Linked DNA regions of Drosophila melanogaster. The protein of the gene in region 2 interacts with the protein of the main gene of each other region in a pairwise test. Each region holds a gene or a part of one and is shown on either strand. Other genes may lie near its edges. The genes, in order: CG6770, CG7763, TwdlE and Roc2.

Evidence for each region.
Region 1: the proteins of CG7763 (region 2) and CG6770 interact in a two-hybrid assay, tested with the Drosophila melanogaster proteins (one large-scale study listed by BioGRID).
Region 3: the proteins of CG7763 (region 2) and TwdlE interact in a two-hybrid assay, tested with the Drosophila melanogaster proteins (one large-scale study listed by BioGRID).
Region 4: the proteins of CG7763 (region 2) and Roc2 interact in a two-hybrid assay, tested with the Drosophila melanogaster proteins (one large-scale study listed by BioGRID).

The regions. Positions count from the first base shown.
Region 1 is NT_033779.5:12,044,559-12,048,291, forward strand, and holds CG6770 (uncharacterized protein), read right to left. Parts: upstream 1,561-3,733; 5' UTR 1,418-1,560; coding exon 1,208-1,417; 3' UTR 785-1,207; downstream 1-784. Other genes in the region: Plzf (promyelocytic leukemia zinc finger), read right to left, coding at 2,838-3,733.
Region 2 is NT_033778.4:11,412,474-11,416,517, reverse strand, and holds CG7763 (uncharacterized protein), read right to left. Parts: upstream 2,009-4,044; 5' UTR 1,963-2,008; coding exon 1,894-1,962; intron 1,833-1,893; coding exon 1,203-1,832; 3' UTR 1,056-1,202; downstream 1-1,055. Other genes in the region: drip, read left to right, coding at 3,533-3,886, 3,944-4,044.
Region 3 is NT_033779.5:7,856,965-7,862,897, forward strand, and holds TwdlE (TweedleE), read right to left. Parts: upstream 3,876-5,933; 5' UTR 3,737-3,875; coding exon 3,719-3,736; intron 3,638-3,718; coding exon 3,417-3,637; intron 3,157-3,416; exon of another isoform or gene 1,961-3,156; coding exon 1,606-1,960; 3' UTR 993-1,605; downstream 1-992.
Region 4 is NT_033778.4:11,676,182-11,681,679, forward strand, and holds the start of Roc2 (regulator of cullins 2), read right to left. Parts: upstream 3,174-5,498; 5' UTR 3,089-3,173; intron 2,713-3,088; 5' UTR 2,617-2,712; intron 2,274-2,616; 5' UTR 2,185-2,273; coding exon 2,025-2,184; intron 1,834-2,024; exon of another isoform or gene 1,718-1,833; coding exon of another isoform or gene 1,533-1,717; intron 1,473-1,532; coding exon of another isoform or gene 1,187-1,472; intron 1,131-1,186; coding exon of another isoform or gene 345-1,130; intron 157-344; coding exon of another isoform or gene 31-156; intron 1-30. Other genes in the region: Tret1-2 (trehalose transporter 1-2), read left to right, coding at 31-156, 345-1,130, 1,187-1,472, 1,533-1,717.

The DNA.
Region 1 (3,733 bases), on a different chromosome or scaffold from region 2:
TCAATGATTCAGACGAAATGCTATTTAATGAAGATAAGGAATATTTATGACTAACCAAAATGCGAATTTAAACATACATAAGAGTCTTGGAATTTTAATTGTCAATATGTTCGAACAATTTCATTAATATGCATTATAGCAAAACCACCTGATCGAGAGTCTGTTTTATTGTTTACCAAATATCAACAACGCAATTCAAAAAGCCGGCAAATGGCGTTTATAGAGAGAGAGAGAGCGAGAGAGAGGAGAGAATTCCATTAGAGTGGACCTTTCTGGAAAAGTTTGTTCGGTTTATTTTTGTACGTGTGCTTGTTTGTTTGTGAGTGGAAAATAACATAGCTTTTGTAATTTTGGACACCTAATGTAAAAATATCGTTTAGTATTGAAAGTCAATAAAAGCGGCGCAATATTCATAAATGCAACCTTACACGCAAATTTAAACCGGAAGAAATGATGCAGGAATATGTGTGTGCAAGTTTAATTACCTGTGTAACTGGTGAACTTTCAATGGAAGGTCTCGGGAATATTTCCGTTTGCAAACTAACATACATACATTACATACACAAATAAATATGTTCATACATGTTCTCTTTTTGGTCGATCGCTGTAAACAAAGAAAAAAGTCGACTGCAACTGCTTTTGCGATAATCGAGGAGCTGAGTGCAAATGAGTTCAACTAAAAGGCTATAAATATGCACAACAGCACACCAACGGCATTCAAAAAGCTCTCTCGCTTGGAAAGGTGCGCTGCAAATGCAAATGAAAATAAGACGACCAGGCTATTCAGTTTTGGTTTTCTCTTTATTTTATATGTATTACCTAAGTCAAACTTCATTATTTGAAACGCTCTAAGGCTTAGCAACTAAAACTTGCAAGTCTGAATTAGTTTAGGAATATATTAGAAGCTAAGAGTAGTATGTGCCTTTCTTTTTTTGTGTTTGTGAAATTATAAGCGAAATAAAATTATTATAATGTTCACAAAGTTTAGCGCCGCATGAAAAGCCAATGCACAATACAAATGCAATGTGTATTTCCAGCTGGCTTTTGTTTTTCTTTCTTTCCTTCCAGCAAAACTGCTGCTTGTTCTTCTTTTTCTTCTCTCCTTTGCTTTTGCTTTCCTTTTAAATTCGAAGATTTCTTTTCTCCTTTCAGCGCGGCCCCGTTACTTCTTTCTCTCCTGTTCCACCGCCTCCGTCGATGCCCTGCATCAGTTCTTGCAGGCGGCGGCTTTCTTGTTGTTGTTGTTGGTGTTCATCAGCTTGGTCAGAATCTTGCGGGAATGACCGGAGGGATCGAAGTGGTTGGTGTGCTCATTGGCCTCCCTCTTGTTGCGCTGCTTGCCGCTGTGTCCAGAGAAGATGTGCTTGTCATGGTCGAAGTTGTAGTGCTCGTACTCATCGAAGTGGGCCTCGGACATAATGGCGATTTAAGGTTGCAAAACTAACTGCGTTCTTGGTTGGTGTCTGCTTTTTGTTTCTCTGCAAACTTGCAGGCTGCTTTCCAAATTTCTCTTCTGCTTTTTTTTGTTCACTTTTCGCTGAGCTGCGAACGGAATTGAATTTTTTCGGTCGAGCAGCGGCTTTTATAGGCGCGCAAGCTTTCTGTTCCGTAACCAAAGCTCTCTCTCCGTCAGAGTTGCCGGATTTAGCTAAAGAAACTACTAGAAGGGCATTTAATTGTTGCTTACGTGTAGTTACTAAAAATATTTAATTTTTCTATAACTTTCTACTGAACTTTTACAAAATATATTTGCTCTTTTTTATGTAAAAGAATTTTTAGTTATTAAAATTCATAGTTATTGGGCCTGACAACCCTTTTGCGCTCAAGAGAGTGCCTCCTTGACAATTTTTGCTGCGCAATTTAATTTTTTGCTGTTTACAAAGTGCGCGGTAAACAAAAAAACTGAAATCGCCAAACATATTATTTCGCCTTGTTCATTTATTTTAATAATTTAAGAACTTTTAAGCATACACACGTTCCTGAGTGGTTACATAACACACACCCACCTTGGCCCTCCGCAAACGACCATCAAAGTGCATTTACCCTGCATTTGTTTCTCCACCCAATAAATATAGAATTAAATGCATCATATGTTCTGGATACACTGCTCAAAATTTGTTTATTTTTTTACACTCAACAATATTTGAATGTTAGGGCACAAGAAACAATTTAGCAATAATTATAATTCGAATAACATTTTTGATTTACAAAAGATATACTCATAATGGATATTTATTTTGGTGCATTAGAACCTGATCGGTTGACCCACTTCCCTCCCACCAGGCAACGCATTTGTTTATTTCTGAATAGCGAAAAGCTTTCAGTTTGTTTTGGTTTAATGGATTTTATATAAACAAATGTTACGTACATACATATATACATAGCCTTCTGGCGTTGATAAGGTGCTAACTATCGCTCTAGTTAGTCATTTGGCAGGTATTCGTTCTGAAAGTTCGTCTTCAAACGACGCAATAGATCGTAGTCACCATCTTAGATAAGATAGAACGGCCTCAACAATGTTGTTTCAAGAACCTGCCACAATATACCACTTTATTTACAATTCGTTGGTAGCAAATCAATCTTTAGATTTCTCGATGGTTCTTTTTTAATGGCTTTAAAAAGAAACTGGGTTTCCGTGAATATTCTAGATACAATTTTGTTGTACTAGAACTCAGAACGAGAGATCCCACGTCTCATTTTGTAAATATAGCAAATGTTCTAAACTTGCTGATACAGTCTCTTTTCAACATAGTTATTCTAAATATTTACTATTGACCTTTGCCTCACAAATCTCTTTCTCTGAGAAGTTATGAATGGGGTAACCTTCCGTTTTATTCCTATTCTACAGTCTCCTTGGGCAGTAGTGTTTTCAGTCGCTTGTCAGGATTAACATTCCTTATAGTCTTGCTCTTAACACTCTTTGGCTTCTTCTTGGGTGACGTTTCGATCACGGGAAGCTCAAAGTCATCGGGAAAGCTACTGTCCACCGTTTCCGAGAGCTCCAACTGCACCGGTTTCTCTGTGTGAACCCGCTGCACGTGCTCCTTCATTTTGTCGGAGCGATGACTGCTGAATCCACACAGCTGGCACTTGTAGCGGTTCGGACCATTCTCCGTGTGCTTGAGGGCGTGACGCTTGAGGTTTTTGCTCTGGCTGAACTTGCAGCCACAGACCTCGCAGATAAAATCGCGACCCTGTTTGTGAGTTTCAATGTGCAATTTGAGGTTCTCCTTGCGATTGGCTCGATGCTTGCAGCCTGAAACTGTGCACGCAAAGAATTCTCCGGTGTGAAGCAGTTTGTGCGACTTGAGGGCCTTCATGTGCGTGGTGCTATAGCCGCAGACGTCGCAGAGCATTTGCTTCTCGGGATTGTGGACCAGGATGTGATTGCTCAGGCCCTGCTTCCACTTGAAGCCCTTGCCGCAATGTGGACATATGTGCGGCGTTTCCGTGGAATGCTTAGGCTGATGGACGAGCAGGGCAGCTCGTGTGTTGAAGCGGATGCCGCACTGTAAGCAAAAGAAGGGCTTACGCAGATCACCAGAGTGCCGTCGTAGGTGAGTGTCGTATTCCCGCCAGTCCAGAAAGCCGACTTCGCACAGCGAGCAAATCAAATGGGAGGGCTCACAGCTGCCCATGTGCTCGATCATTTTCTGTACCTGATAGCACTTGAAGTCGCAGCCAATGCAGTAGTTCACTTTGCTGCTGGACTTTACAGCTCGCGGGTTCTTAA
Region 2 (4,044 bases):
AAAAAAAATTTTCCCACAAGCCGTACCGCCGCAGTGGGTTGATCGTGTTTTAATTATGTTATAGGTATCGTACAACTTTTGCGCTCGGCATGGGCGACGTGGCGTCCTCCGGTAGCGGGTCGTTGTTTTATTAATTTAAATTAGGTCTTGGCGCAACATAGGTTTACATTTTTATTTTAGAAATTTTACACCTTTTATTGAATTATGCAATATTTGTTGCGCCCCGGGATGGGCGTAGTTCCCCCCGGCAGCGGGTAATTGCTATTTTATCATTTTATACACAGCTCACGCAGCACTTCTTTTTCATTTATGGATTTCAGATCTTAATCTGACTTATGCACACCACCACTATTTTTACGCACAAATTTCCACAATTTTTTCGTATCACTTTTATCGGCCGGACATTGCCGGTCCCTGCTCGGGCGCCAGTTAACGCAAGTTCCACTTGCATCAGGGTTCTCGGCACTCGCTGCCGCATACCTCACCTCGATATGACAACCAACATGCTGTGGTTCTCCAAATAATAGTCAAGATAGTTAAGAGGGTTCGAGTTTACGATTAGCTTTATTTTAAGATTCAGTTCGCGATCTGCTAGCGGTTCCGTTATGTGTCCGTTCGACACTGGGGCCTCTTCTCCCGCCCCGCTGCTTTTATATCCGCTTCCCCCGTTGACCCCTCACCCTGAGTGCGACCAACGGCACTTGTTCCGAATGCACACATACACAAACATGTTCCTAGACAGGCCCCGAGTCGCCTGCTGACGGGGCCCGAAAACACGAGAGCCGAGCGCTGGTGAGTCCTGACGAAGATCGCAAGAAGAGGGTTCGTAACTTACACGAACATGTTACTAGACAGGCCCCGAGTCGCCTGCTGACGGGGCCCGAAAACACGAGAGCCGAGCGCTGGTGAGTCCTGACGAAGAGCGCAAGAAGAGGGTTCTTAACTTATATATCTCGATCGGGGGAAGAGTCTTGCCAGACTTTTTGTAGCCAATGGAAAACCTTGAGAGCACGGAGAGTGCTGACACAAAATAATGAAATAGTGGTCAATTCATATAGGATTATATGTATATTCGTAAATAAAGTCTTATTCCAACTTGTTCGTTTTGAAATAAACATTATACTTATTTCCTCCATAAACCATGTGGTAAATGTCAGATATCAAAAACTAATATTAACTTCAAAGAGATAAATATTTTTGTATTATATTTCAATAGATTTTTCGCAAATAAAATAGAGATTGGCAAAACATGAGTTATCGTTCATGGTAGTTTTCCCATTGAATGTTCGGATATCCACACACTCTCCATCTTTTGTGGGTTCCCCATCGGCCCAACTCAAAAAATTGGCCTTCGATCCTTTGGTCACAGAAACGAATTCACTTTCGTTGAACTGATTGGTCACGTCGATCCAGTAGCGATTCAGGCCATTAAGTTGGTTATTGAATCTATCCAATTCCTCCTGACTTTGCAGACTGGCCAGATGGCCACCCATTTTGTGGCATTTATCCAAAGCATCGTGCCAGTTTAGCTTCTCTTCCTTTTCGATGTAGTAGTATTTGCTTCCCAGTTGTTGGAAAATTTCGTTTTCTTCCAGTTTTCTGCCCATTGCTGTACCGTGTGTCAGCAGTTGTTGCGAAGTATTTTGATTTTCCAGCTGCAAGTTCGTTGAAGTGCCAAAATTGTCCAGTCTTCGGTCATTTAGGGCTATTCTCGCTATTGCAACAGCTGCTTCACAGGCTTCAACCCTTCGTTGCAAATTGCCCATGCTCGCGATGCAGGGATTCAAGACACCGTAGCAATATGCAGCACATTGGGAATCGCTTTCAACGCCCTAAGAAGATATGTGAATGTAAATATTTAGCATTTCTAAACCACTTCTCTACTTCACTCACCTCGCAGGCTGCTGAATAACTTGAACTCAGACACAACGGGAGTACCAAAAATATAATAGATTTTTGCATTGCTGCGATTCTGAGATCTTTTAAATCCGAGTGCCAAAAACAGACTGACTTAAATGCTTCGAAACCAAGTATATTAGAAAGAAATCCAATAAAGAAAGAAACAGAAAATCTGACGCTGCATGATGATAAGAGATAGGTACTATGTACGACTTATCGCTCTGCACAGCATGTGGGTATAGTTATCTGCATACACAGAAAAACATAATGCAATTCATAATTCATAAAAATTAAAAATATATTTAACATTTTTTAATTAGATCGGCTTAGAACTAAAAAGTCACATAGTGTAATTAACCCATTCGAAATGCGTAATAAACTCGTAGCGTAATCACATAGGCCTAACTCGATTAGAGCCATATTTCATCGATGACTCACGTCTAAGTTCAGTCAGTCCGTCATTCGCGGTTTTCACACGCAGCCGGTCTGTCGATCTCGATTGCTTTCGTTGCATATATTAAATTTAATTATGGGTTTCGGGCTCGACAATAAATTTGATTAATTTCACGACTCTTCGAGTGTGTGCAGCTAAGACGAGTGGAGGCATTGAGTCGAGAACAATAGGCCTAAACTATTGTGGCTAAAAGCTTTAGATCCAAACGATTAGGTCAGGCTGAGTGGCGGCAGCAAAGGCGGCAACTTAGTCTTAGTATAGACGAAGTCGAAATTGCGCTGCACGCATGCGCATAACCAAAATGTCAAGAAGTTGTTCGAGTTGTAGTGGCTGCTCGGATTTGTGGCCTATTGCCGTTTGGGCCGCAAAACGCGACTCGAACTTGCTCTTGGCGGCATTTGTAATTAGCGTTTTGTGGCCGAACAGCCAACACACGGGCATTTTTTTTTGTTTTTTTCTTTTTTGCGCATTTATTAATTAAACGCACAGCGACGCACGACATTGGCCGTGCGTCCAATGCGAACTGCGAACCGCGAAATCCATATCGAAATCGAATTCGTATCACCAAAACGTAGAGAAACACGGCTGGAAAGAGATATCAAACATAGAAGCCTGCACATCGACCTTGGGCGCAGAGTGAACAGTGCATTTCGGGCTCCATTCATAACACTTGATCCAATCCAATCCAATCCAATACGATGCGATGCGATGCGAGGCGATCCGATCCAATGCGATTTCCATTTAAGTGATTCCATGTGATCTCTTCACGGGCAATGACTCAACAGAACCCCGAATCACTTTTACTTCCCAGCCAGCTCCACCTGAACTTTGCAGACACGCTAAACACAATAAATGCACTCGAGTGCATCTCACGTCTGACAAATTGCTTGTATCCGCTGGCAGTTCGATATGCAACGATATTGTGCAATGGAAAATTCGGAAAATCGCACAATCAGCTTCATGGCAAAGGGCAAACTTTGAGCGCAGCTATGGTTAAGATGTTGCGTTGTCAACTCGACATTTGCAAGCGCCGATGGAGGTGGAGATAGGCCATTATCTACATTATGTTCGACTGGGCCTTAGCCTCCTTGATTTGATCTTCATACTTTTTTTCCTCTTTTATTGAGCCTTATAATAAATATATTCTTGAATATCCTCTTATTTTGTTCTCTCTCTCAGGGCTTGGGCCACCTCAGTGGCTGTCACATTAATCCGGCGGTCACCCTTGGATTCCTGATCGTTGGTGAGATCAGCATTCTGAAGGCTGCCTTCTACATCATCGTCCAATGCGTGGGCGCCATTGCTGGAGCGGCTGTGATAAAGGTGGCACTCGATGGAGTGGCTGGTGGCGACCTGGGAGTATCCTCCTTTGATCCCTCCCTGAACTGTGCACAGGCGGTGCTGATCGAAGCGCTGATCACCTTTATTTTGGTTTTCGTGGTCAAGGCTGTTTCGGATCCTGGACGCCAGGATATCAAGGGATCAGCGCCACTGGCTGTTGGTTTGGCCATCGCCGCTGGCCATTTGTGTGCAGTGAGTACGAGGTGATGGAGTTCTCCGACTGGAGGTTAATAAGTGTACCATTTACAGATCAAACTGAGCGGTGCCAGCATGAATCCCGCCCGGTCCTTTGGTCCCGCCGTAGTGCAGGGCGTCTGGACCTATCACTGGGTTTACTGGGTGGGTCCCAT
Region 3 (5,933 bases), on a different chromosome or scaffold from region 2:
TGAAAATACTTAGCATGATATTTATTTTTCCAGTAAAATATATATTATATCTATAAATTCTTATCAACAATATTGCGCTGCTGTTCAGACTGCAGCATAGGAATTCACATTTAGTGCATTATAAACGTTCGTCTAAAGAGGTTCAATTTGCTAAGCATGTTCCAGCTGAAAGTTCTCCTATATTACGCAATTATCGCAATAGTTATAAATGCATCACCTTCAGGATGCGAGGAGACAGATCGTGTCGAAGCCTCGAAGCGCTGATGCCATTGATCGGTCACATTGCCCAGCACCAGGAACAGTGGAAAACCTGCAAGTTGCAAGAAATACAGGCCCAACAGAGGGATATTGAAAAAGAAATTGAAAGCCAGAAGACATCGCTAACGGAATCGTGGAAGAAGATCATTGCAGAGGATATCGAGAACAGAACCAATAGGTCAGAACTTAAGATGGAGGGTCAACTATCTGACCTACAGGAAGCATTGACTAGTATAACGACGTCGCTGAAGAATATGTCTGCGAAAATAAATATTTTACATAGGTTCAAGCGAATCGGATCGAGATATTTGCACATCGAAGACATAGTCCAACAAAATTGGACCAGTGCTTTGAGCGCATGTCAAAAGATGGGAGGTAATCTAGCCTCAATTATAAATGAAGCAGACTTTAATGCTATCGTTTCGCAACTAAGCAAAGACAACACTTATATGATTGGCATTAGTGATCTGGCTGAAAAGGGCGTTTTCATATCTGTGTCCTCCGGAAAGAGAGCACCTTTTTTGAAATGGAATCCTGGAGAGCCACTATACGAACATGTAGATCAGCGTTGCGTTTCTATACATAACGGTGGCATGTGGGTTGCTTCTTGTACTTCTGATTTCAAATACATTTGCGAGGCAAATGAAAATGTATAGTAAACAGATATATATAAATATATGTACACATATGTTAAGACTTGCAATGTGAAACATACAAAAAGAAATCCATCTTGTACAGATAATTCGTTAAACTTTTATTTAGCCATTGATGTTTTGTGTTTTTAACATTATATACTTGAGTATCATTTTAATCTTCATTTTTTTTTGTTGCATTTCGAGTGCTTCGCACATTCTATTTAATGACAAATCGTGTGCGAAATGTGCAATATGAAATTGGAATAAATTGCCTACTTGAAAATGCGTTTGTGATGAAAATCATGTACCACGTATATATCGTTAATCGGTATCAGGATCGATATCTCTATCGATAACTAAGGCTAGCTCGCAGTGAGTGTTTCGAGTGTTTTGTGTGAGTGTATAACGCATCGTTCGCTTAAAGACCTAGACTTAAGACTAAACAAACAATTTGAAACAAACAGCCTAGATGGAAAACATACTTCTCGTACATCAGGTAGAAACAACATCAGAGATAAGAATTACTCATCTATAGGAGTAATAATCCTATGAGCTGGGTGTGGAGAGGGGATGGGGGAGATTCGTTGCTTGGTAAACTTTGTCACGCGTTAAGGTCCTTGAAACAGAAAATAATACAATACACATAAGATATGCAGTTTGCCATGAGTTGGGTTGAGATAAGCAAATCGGTATTCGGGTTGGACTGGATCGCCTAGTGGGATGGTGCCCCATACGAGCTGCTGGGAGCAGAGGGTGCGGGCGGGGCAGCTGGAGCTCCGTACTCGGGCGCTGGAGGCGCCACACTGTTGGGATAGGGTCCGGTCTCCTCCTTCTGGGTCTTGTAGCGGATGAAGTACACCTCCGGCTTGCTGGGTTGGGTGGGAGCTGGCGTTGGGATAATGATCTCCGGCTGCTCCTCCGGCTTCTTGACTAGCACGTACACCAGGGTCTTCTCTTCGTTCTGTGGGAACTGCGGTATTACAGGGGCGGTCGGTACTGGTGGAGATGGCGCCTTGATGAAGACGATCTTGTAGTGCTTCTGCGGAGGTGGCACGTAAAGGGGTTTCCTGGGAAAATATTTAAAAATGTATTTAAATAAAGGTTCTGCTATATCTGTATTTAAGGAATTTCTTAGGAATTCTATGGGTAAAGTAAGACACCACATCCTCATATAACGCAACTTTTTTTGCTTCCGGCTTGTAAAAATTTACATACTGAATAAAAAAATTTCAATTACACACGGCCAGGCTGGAATGACTTTCCACACTTCCTATAACCTTGCCTTGTTGAACGAACAAATACCGCGATGCGGGAGAAAGGAGTTTCTCTTTGAGGTGCATGCAAATGGCATGCCCATAAATGGTGACCTCCCGAAAATGGTGACCTCCCGACAACGTTGAACCCACTGCAGCTGCTTGTCAGTTTTACTAATCAGATGAAGATGATGACTATTGTGACGATGACAGCGATTGTCACAACAACCGCCTCGAGACGAGGGTTTACATAAAGCTACCTATGGTAATCGAGTTCCTGTCCCTCTGCGCCTGATAATTTGCTTGGAAATGGTACTGAGATATATACGAGTACAAGTGCTGCGGCGAGCTTAGGTAACGTTTTAGTCACGGTTTGGCGGTCTGCAAAGCCATATCATTCCCCTCTCGTGGTAATTAACATCGCTTCCAACTCCAATTGAAAACAGACAGAAGACGACAGAAAACATTGTATCAGCGAAAAGAGAGGAAAGTTGGATGGCTTTCGTTTTCGCGGGTATTAAATAATGTTCCTCCTCCGTTTAAGCGACCCTCTAAATACCCTGGAAATGTGGCAACAGCTGTGGAAAAGGGCCCTGAGCTGGATTAGATGATTGCCGGCTGGTCTCTTGCAACATTTGTCTAGTTATTATCTTTGGGAGTTGACGGCACTGCCTGGTTTACGCCGATGAATTGTGAGAGAATCTGCATAAGTGCCTTGGATTATATACTCATAACACAACAATGTGTTTTTTCCCCATATTTTTCCAATCTTAAGTGGAACAAGACAAATAAAGCGAGATCGTTTGTAACCGCTCACAATCACGCAAGTCGAAAAAAAAGTGTGCTGGATAAGGGGTGTGAATAATTTGAACTGATTACGTTGTGAAATGAAAAAAACCGCAGGATGTACGTTTATATTGTACGGCTTATCAGAAGAAATTCTCGATTGTTCACTCACTCACTGTGTTGGGAGTGTAGTGCGATTTCTATTTTGTGAAACTATGCAAAATAAATAATTTTACTATTACTTAAACTCTTAAATACGTATCTTTTGTGATTAAACTGAATGTGTCTAAAATAACATTTTTAAAGATTTTTTCCATTTTTAGGTCTGATATAATTATCATCTAGTATAGACAAAAATTTTAAACGAGTATGCATAGATCCTTTTCCGGAACTTGGTTGAAGAATAGGTTTATTGGGAACCCTATTCTACTCGCGATCTTTGGAACTTATGTTGGCTTAGAGGATCCTTGATCCTGCCACTCACCTGGGTGCCTGGTATTCCGGCTCTGGTGGAGGTACATGGACGTAGACGTGCTTGTGAATCACCGGCGCCTGCTGGGGAGGTCCGTACTGGGGCGCAGGGGCGCCGTAGCCTCCGCTGGGTCCACTTGGCTGGTAGCTGCTGGAGGGGGGCGCACTGTACGAGTCACGAGGCGGCTCTGGACGAGCGGCCACCAGGGCAGCCAGGGCCATGAGGACCACTAACTGCGAACGAGATCGGAGGAGAACACACCATTAAGCGATGTCCATCACGGCCACTTGGTCGGTTTGGTCACAAGATCATACCACACAACTGGAATGCATTTTCGGGTGGCTTATTTCGGGTATATCCGTTTCGGGTTTTGTCACTGCTCCAGGTGGCTAGGTGCTACTGGCTGTTACTGGTTACTGGTTACTGGCAATGTGGTGCTGCTTCGACGCGGAACCTCTTACTGCATGCCACAACGATTGTTGCAGTTTCTTTTATAGCAGCGCAGCGCGTGAAATAAAAATTAAGTAAAATTCAAGACGACGATCAAGACCGCTGCTGCTTTAGCCGCCTCAGCTGCCTCAGCTGCTGCCGCAGTCGACCGAGCAGTCGGCCAAGTTGGCTGAGCAGTTGGCAAAGAGCGGCAGCAGCATGTAGCCATGAAGAAATTGAAATGTTTAAGCCAAGTCCAAAGTTTGGCCAGTCATGATCTGGTGGGGAAACTGAGGCTGCAGCTCCTGGCTGCGATGCAAACGGCGACCGCAAAGCCAACCGAAACTGCAACGTCTGCTGACCGTTTCTTGGCTTTGGCTTTCCTCCTTCGATTAACTACTTCTTTTTCGTGGTTTTTCGAGCATGTGGTTGGTTGTTTTTTTTTTTCTGTTTTTCTGCCCAACTAGGATTATTTTCATGGGGAAAATAAGGAACCTGAAAGGTGCAGTGTATGTATGTAAAATAAAGCTTGAGGCAGCAAGGCCATCAAATAGTTTTTTATGGTTTTTATTTCTGAAGACACTTAGCTGCTGGAATGTAGCTTATTTCAAGGGTCCATTATTTTCAAGGCAAGAAAATAAAAGCCTTTTTTGCGGTAACCTCAGCTTTAACGATTTCCTGCTTAATTTAAGAATATCTGAGAATATCTGTTCTCTTATTATTAATTTATCACGCCTTTTGTTCTTTTATCATTAAAAGAAAATGCCTCTCTTAGCTTAGATAGTTTAATTATTAAAGGCAAGTCATATTTTGTAATATTTAATTTATAAATATGTCTTGTGCATTTTTTTCCCTCGCCCATTTAAAACATTTGTATAGATTCGCTGTAGAGTACAACTCCTTCGAACTGATTGCCAAAGAAACATGGTTTTTCCTAAAATCTCTGATTTCTGTTATTTATATATAAATATATATATATATGTGCTTTATTATATATATGTAGCTAATGTGTGTAAATTGTTATTTTGGTCATTTAGAGGATCCAATCGCAGTGGACTCGTAACCAAGTCTGGACTCTGGATCGGATCGTGTGGCACGATTCACTTTCAATTTCAATGAATGTGGATTCACTCTCATTTAGCCAGCCGTTTTGGGGAATGGGTTGGTATAGTATGGTATGGTATGGTTTGGGATCAGATGGGATGGGGCTAAGCTTTGTTTTGTGCTCTGGAGTGGGACTGAATCTGGTGTTGGTTTTATTTCATTTCTTCATGCTCTTTCGGCCTTTTGTTAGCCAGCTTCTTTCGGTGTTTTGGGTTGTGTTGTGTGTTGGCTTGAGTTGACTTGGCCTGGCTTGTTGTTATTATTATTGTTACTGTTATTGTTATTGTTTTACTGGCTATGTTGCTTTTGTAATTGCTGTCCGCGTTTTGGACACGAAGCTTCATAATGAGCTTCACGCTCTTGTTGGGTCGACCCATCTGTACAGGCATTTTATTTAATTTTTCTCCTCTGGTTTTTTTGTTTTTGCAATATTTTGAATTTCTTCAATTTGTTTTTTTTTTTATCTCTGGCAAGTTTTAGTGTTGTTTTTGGGTTGCTTTTCTTATTTAATAATTTACGCCCCGGCCATGACAATTAGCGTTAGAGAAGAGTGATGGATAAAATTATGATTGGCAAAATGTTTTGCAACTTTTCCATGGCTCATAGCCCCCAAAGTAATAGCTAGCTTTTTTCCTGATTTATGCACATAATCTATAAATGGCAATCAGCATTTTTGCATCGGTTGCAAGCGATCCTTGGCCGCATTTTGGGGCCACTCCTGCACAATCGCTGCCGGAATTTTGCTTTATGAAATGGCATAATCAGTGACGACCAGTGGCGCCAAACGGAGGACGACACCGTAAACCGTAGACCCAGGCACCGAGTAAGATACCCAGCAGCAGTATTGCAACTGCAACTTGCAACAGTTGGAGAGACTCAACTGGAGGAGAGTCACAGAGACAGAGACTGTCACTTTTCCTCTATGGCATCATTTATAATGCCGTTAGCCAAATGGCAGGTTGTGTTGATTTTGTTGTTCATCTGCAGCAGCGGCTG
Region 4 (5,498 bases), 260 kb from region 2:
AATTAAAATCGTTTTCCTTCCTATTTCCAGGTTTTGGCTGCTCTGAGTGTCTCGCTGTGCTCCTTGGTGGTCGGATTTGTCAGCGCTTACACGTCGCCTGCACTTGTGTCGATGACCGATCGGACCATCACCTCCTTTGAGGTCACAAAAGATGCTGTAAGTTTTGTTAACTCTTTGTTCGCAGATAAGCTAATTCGAAGCTAATAAGTCCCAGTGATATGTTGAATAATTCAGATAATTTCAACAGAGCGTTTCAAAGGCACACTTTTCCAGCGAAAATCGGATTTCTATTCCCAAACGAAGCTAAACCCCTATCCAATCACTTGAAATCTATACTATTGCAGGGTTCCTGGGTTGGTGGCATCATGCCACTGGCTGCATTAGCAGGTGGCATAACAGGAGGACCCTTGATCGAATATCTGGGCAGGCGCAGCACCATCCTGGCCACTGCGGTGCCCTTCATCGTATCATCACTGCTGATTGCGTGTGCTGTGAATGTGATCATGATTCTGTGCGGACGATTCCTAACTGGATTCTGCGTTGGCATTGCCTCTTTATCCCTGCCCGTCTACCTGGGTGAGACTTTGCAGCCGGAAGTGCGGGGCACTTTGGGTTTGCTGCCCACCGCTCTTGGTAACATAGGCATCCTGGTTTGCTATGTGGCGGGATCCTTTATGAATTGGTCGATGCTGGCCTTCTTGGGAGCTGCTCTGCCCGTTCCCTTCCTGATTTTGATGATCATTATCCCCGAAACTCCGCGCTGGTTTGTGAACCGTGGTCAGGAAGAGCGCGCCAGGAAGGCTTTGAAATGGCTGCGTGGCAAGGAGGCGGATGTGGAGCCCGAACTAAAGGAGTTGATGCAATCTCAGGCCGATGCCGATCGTCAGGCCACTCAGAACACCTGTTTGGAGCTGTTTAAGCGAAACAATCTGAAGCCACTTTCCATTTCCTTGGGTCTGATGTTCTTTCAACAGTTCAGCGGTATCAACGCGGTTATTTTCTACACGGTCCAGATCTTCAAGGATGCGGGATCCACAATTGATAGCAATCTTTCCACGATCATCGTGGGTGTAGTTAACTTTTTTGCTACGTTTATGGGCATCATTCTGATTGATCGGTTGGGCAGAAAGGTGGGTTTAAAGATGCATATAAATGAAAATCATTGTTTACTAATCGTAATTTTTAGATTCTTCTGTATGTATCCGACATCGCCATGATCGTGACCCTGTCCATTCTGGGCGGCTTCTTCTACTGCAAGGCGCATGGTCCGGATGTGTCCCATTTGGGTTGGTTGCCACTCACTTGCTTCGTTATCTACATTCTGGGATTCTCCCTGGGCTTCGGACCCATTCCCTGGCTGATGATGGGTGAGATTCTGCCAGCCAAGATTCGAGGACCGGCTGCATCGGTGGTCACGGCTTTCAACTGGTTCTGCACGTTTGTGGTAACCAAGACCTTCCAGGACCTCACGGGTGCGTAGTGCAACTAACTAAAATAAGTGGTGTAATAATATTTAATATTTTTGTGTGTAGTTGCTATGGGCGCGCATGGAGCCTTCTGGCTATTCGGCGCCATCTGCATCGTGGGTCTGTTCTTTGTGATTATTTTTGTGCCCGAAACGCGGGGCAAGTCGTTGGAGGAAATTGAGCGAAAGATGATGGGCCGTGTGCCCATGTCCTCGGTGGTCAACATCAAGCCATTTCCTTTCAACATGTAAATGGCGTGTTGCTAAGGATCTGAGATGCGTTCAAACCAAATAGTAGGGTGGTGTCTTCGTGCTTAAATTGTGAATTTTTAGGCAAGCGCAATAAATCAAAATTACCGTTGAAAAATACACCAATTGAAAGTTTTTAGGCACTTATGTATATGTGAGTAAAAAACATTTTCGCTTGCGATATGCACAAGATAGTGTTAACAAAGACACCAGTATAATAATATTCTAGTTACATATTGTTACATATGTAGGACCTTTTATTATTATTAATACTCAAGATTAGAGTTTTGAAATCAGTGGTATTGCTCACCCATAACTTGAACACGGCAAATGGCACAGATATCGCATTCCACATCCCAACTCCACATTGCAACTGCGTTCCATTTCTTCAGCGTAAACATTTTTTCCGGTTTGCCGGCATCTCCGTCGTCTGTGGGCCTATCCACTGAGTTTTCTGGATCATCAGCCATGTCAAAAAAGTCTGGGAAACTGACCAATCCACTGGGCTAATGAGATTCGGTTTTTTAATATTTTTTTTTTGTTTCTTGTGTATATCCTCCTGTATGGGAGATTTTAATTAGTATTACAAATAGCGGTTTAAAAATGTTTTTTAATTTTACAATACAATATATTAATTTTTTAAGGTTCTTTTATTTTTAATTTCCCTTTAATGTTTTATGTTTTTATTTTTATTTGGTAAACAATTTTAAGTTTTATTCGACCCCGTTTTTAAATATTTTTCTAACTGTTAATTTATAGGGTATTAGAAACTCTAAACCGGACCTATCTTAGTTATTGATTATTAGCAAATGGCAAAGTGGTCTAACCAGGTCCGGACATCAGTACGTAACTCAGGTTTAGGATTTTAAATAAGGTAATTATACAAATATTAGGAATATTACTCGAAAAATATGCTTAATAGGCGTAGGAGAGCTACAAGTAGAAAAGTTCAAAAATGATCAACAGGTGTTGCTTCCTTCCAACTGGTGGCGATAATTCTACGAACAAACGGTATATTAGTATTAGGGAACAGAGTAACGGGTATCTGATAGTTGAGCCATTCGACTAAGCGCATTCTTCTTGATTGTTTTTTGTTTTATGAATATTGGTAGCTGCGGAATAGGGGGATAGACTATAAAGCCTCTCACTTATCCCTGGTAAAAATGTAATTTACTTTCGTAGCAAGTGGCTGATACGAATTTTAATGTTTTGCTCAACTTGCCAAAAAGTTACTTCTTCCTCCGAGAACAAAGAAATGCCATTCTCAGTTGTATACGAAGGAAAGGTTATCACAGTGTTCGTTAAGTTGTTAACCTCACTCCTACTTCTTGCTTAGTTTCGGGCAAATGATAAGGAACCGCCGGTTTGACTTACCAACAAATAAGAAGTCGAAATAATTGAATGTAAACAATAGCAAGCCAAAAGTCAGTGTGGCCACACCAAAACAAGGGAAAACTATTTTCAGTGTTGCCACAGCCATTTAGGGGATACATTCACCTTATATGCACGGACACACCTATCGACGACCGATAATTAAATATCGATAAGGCGGTTAATTTGTTTTGTGATTTGGTTTTCGCTTACTTCAACTTCGGTTCAATTCATTTTCAGCCTTCGACGAGTGCGGAACGTTTGCGGCAGCGTTTTTCGGCCGCGCTTCTCAAGTTTCAGCTTGCGTTGGGAAATAAACGGTTGGTTTCCAATGCACTAACACAAATTTGACAATATAAATTATTTGCGGTTTCCGGTGATTACTTTAAAATGAAAACCTTCGAACGACAAAAGCTGACCGTGAATATACAGCAACCTGATTCCGATTCCGTTGCCAACCAGAACGCGCCCCGCATAAGTAATTAAGTAATTTCCATGCCGCTCAGCCGGAATCTAACAGTTCAGCCTTATTATTCGCCCATCGTAAACTGAAATTGAAAAAGATAATGGCAAATGACCCATTATCACTATCAGCACAAATGGCGCATCCGACAATCAAAGATAAACATCCCGTATCAATGCGATCCGATGCCAAATGTGCGATAAGCCGATTAAGGGAGTGGTATTTTAGTAAATAAATGTGGAGAAATTAGTTGTTTTTCACAGTAAGCAATAAATTTTCAAATAGCAAATGTAAAATCTACATAAGCCTTACAAAATGACGACGTGTTAAATGCCAATTAAGAGCAAATATCACCTGTGGCTAATGAAAATGTGCAATTTAATACAACCGCAAACAAATGTGGAAGTAACAAATAATGAAAATTTAAACAGATAAAGGTCATTTCGTAGACTTAAACACAAATGAGTGTCAAAAGCGATACGGATAAATATCAATAATTGCAAAATAAAACCCTTGAGTTGAACGCCCTTTTTTTTAACCGGAATAAAGAAGTAGCAGCTGAAGGAGAAACAGGCCAACAGCAAGTTTAATTTAATTAAATTTCGTTGTTTTCTGTGTGCGTGTGTGAGTGTGTTGTTGTTGCTTTTGTTGTTGGCTTTGCTGGATAATCAACGTAATGCTTCCACCCACATCGCGCGAAAGAGATAGCACTAGCGCAATTGACTTTGCCATAAATGATTTTTGGTTTTTTTTCTGCTATTTCTTTCTTGTTTTTTCATGCTTTTCTGTTTGTTTGTTTGTTTGTAAGTTGGTCGCTGGCAATTAGTGGAACGACAAATGTTTATTGACAAAGGCATTGGACACTTTGATTTACCGGGTCTATTCGGTTAAATTGTTTATGATTTTTAAGCGAAAATTATAGATATATGTACATGTGTATGTACATATGGGGGTGTTGTATCTCAGAGATATCGATGGTAAATGTGACACTTTGTGGGTGTATCTATAATCGTATAAAGTGGAACTCTAGTCGCTAAAAAATAAAATCAAACTCTTAAAGGCAGTTTTGTTTTCCTTATAAGCTAGATCGATAAATTTCCACAGCTTACCAGTAAATTTTCATTTAGAGCAGTTTCGAGTATATACAAAAGTGTTTAAAATTTTGCATGTGAAACTATAGCAAAGTTTCGAACATGTACATATAAATTTCAGAAAGCATATTTTAACAGGTTGTACATATATTCAAGATTTGAATGTCATAATTCATTTCAAAAGTAACTATCTGGTATATTTAAAAACCAAATTCCATCACAAAAGTGTGTTTATTTAATGTTTAAAAATGCCAATAAATGCTCAATTGCAACACCCATTTTCCAAGTATGAGTGCAAATGTTTTAGGGATTTCGAACAAGATCACTTCATGCCCCCGATGCCACAAAGCCTCGAGAAGTAAATGCAATTAACTGGCGAAAAGCACTTGCGCCCCCTTGCCCCTCCCTTTAGACCATATTAACTTGGCTTTAACGCCGTGCACGTTCGATTTGAATGACGCACATTGGCGGCTGAATGGTTGAAAAAGTGCAAAATCAACAATTAATGAACTGAACAATGTTTGCCACCTGTAACGTCTGAGGATGGTGTAAATTTCCAATTGCAAACGATGTCAAACAGAGGCGTTTTACCGTCTGCTAATTTCCCATTTTCATTTCAAGCCGAATGGCCACAAATAATACAACAAAAAATAATGAAATAATAATAATACAACAAAAAGCAGTAAAACCGCAAGATTGCGGCTATTTGCAAGCACTTTATGTGTCGTTTATGATATAGTATTACTATGCGCTGTCACTTCGGTCCGGCGATCAAATATGCAATTAAATGTAAAAAAAAAAAAAAAAATGGCAATTTAATGAACCCACATTTGATTAACCAATCAGCAGTCGAAAGTCA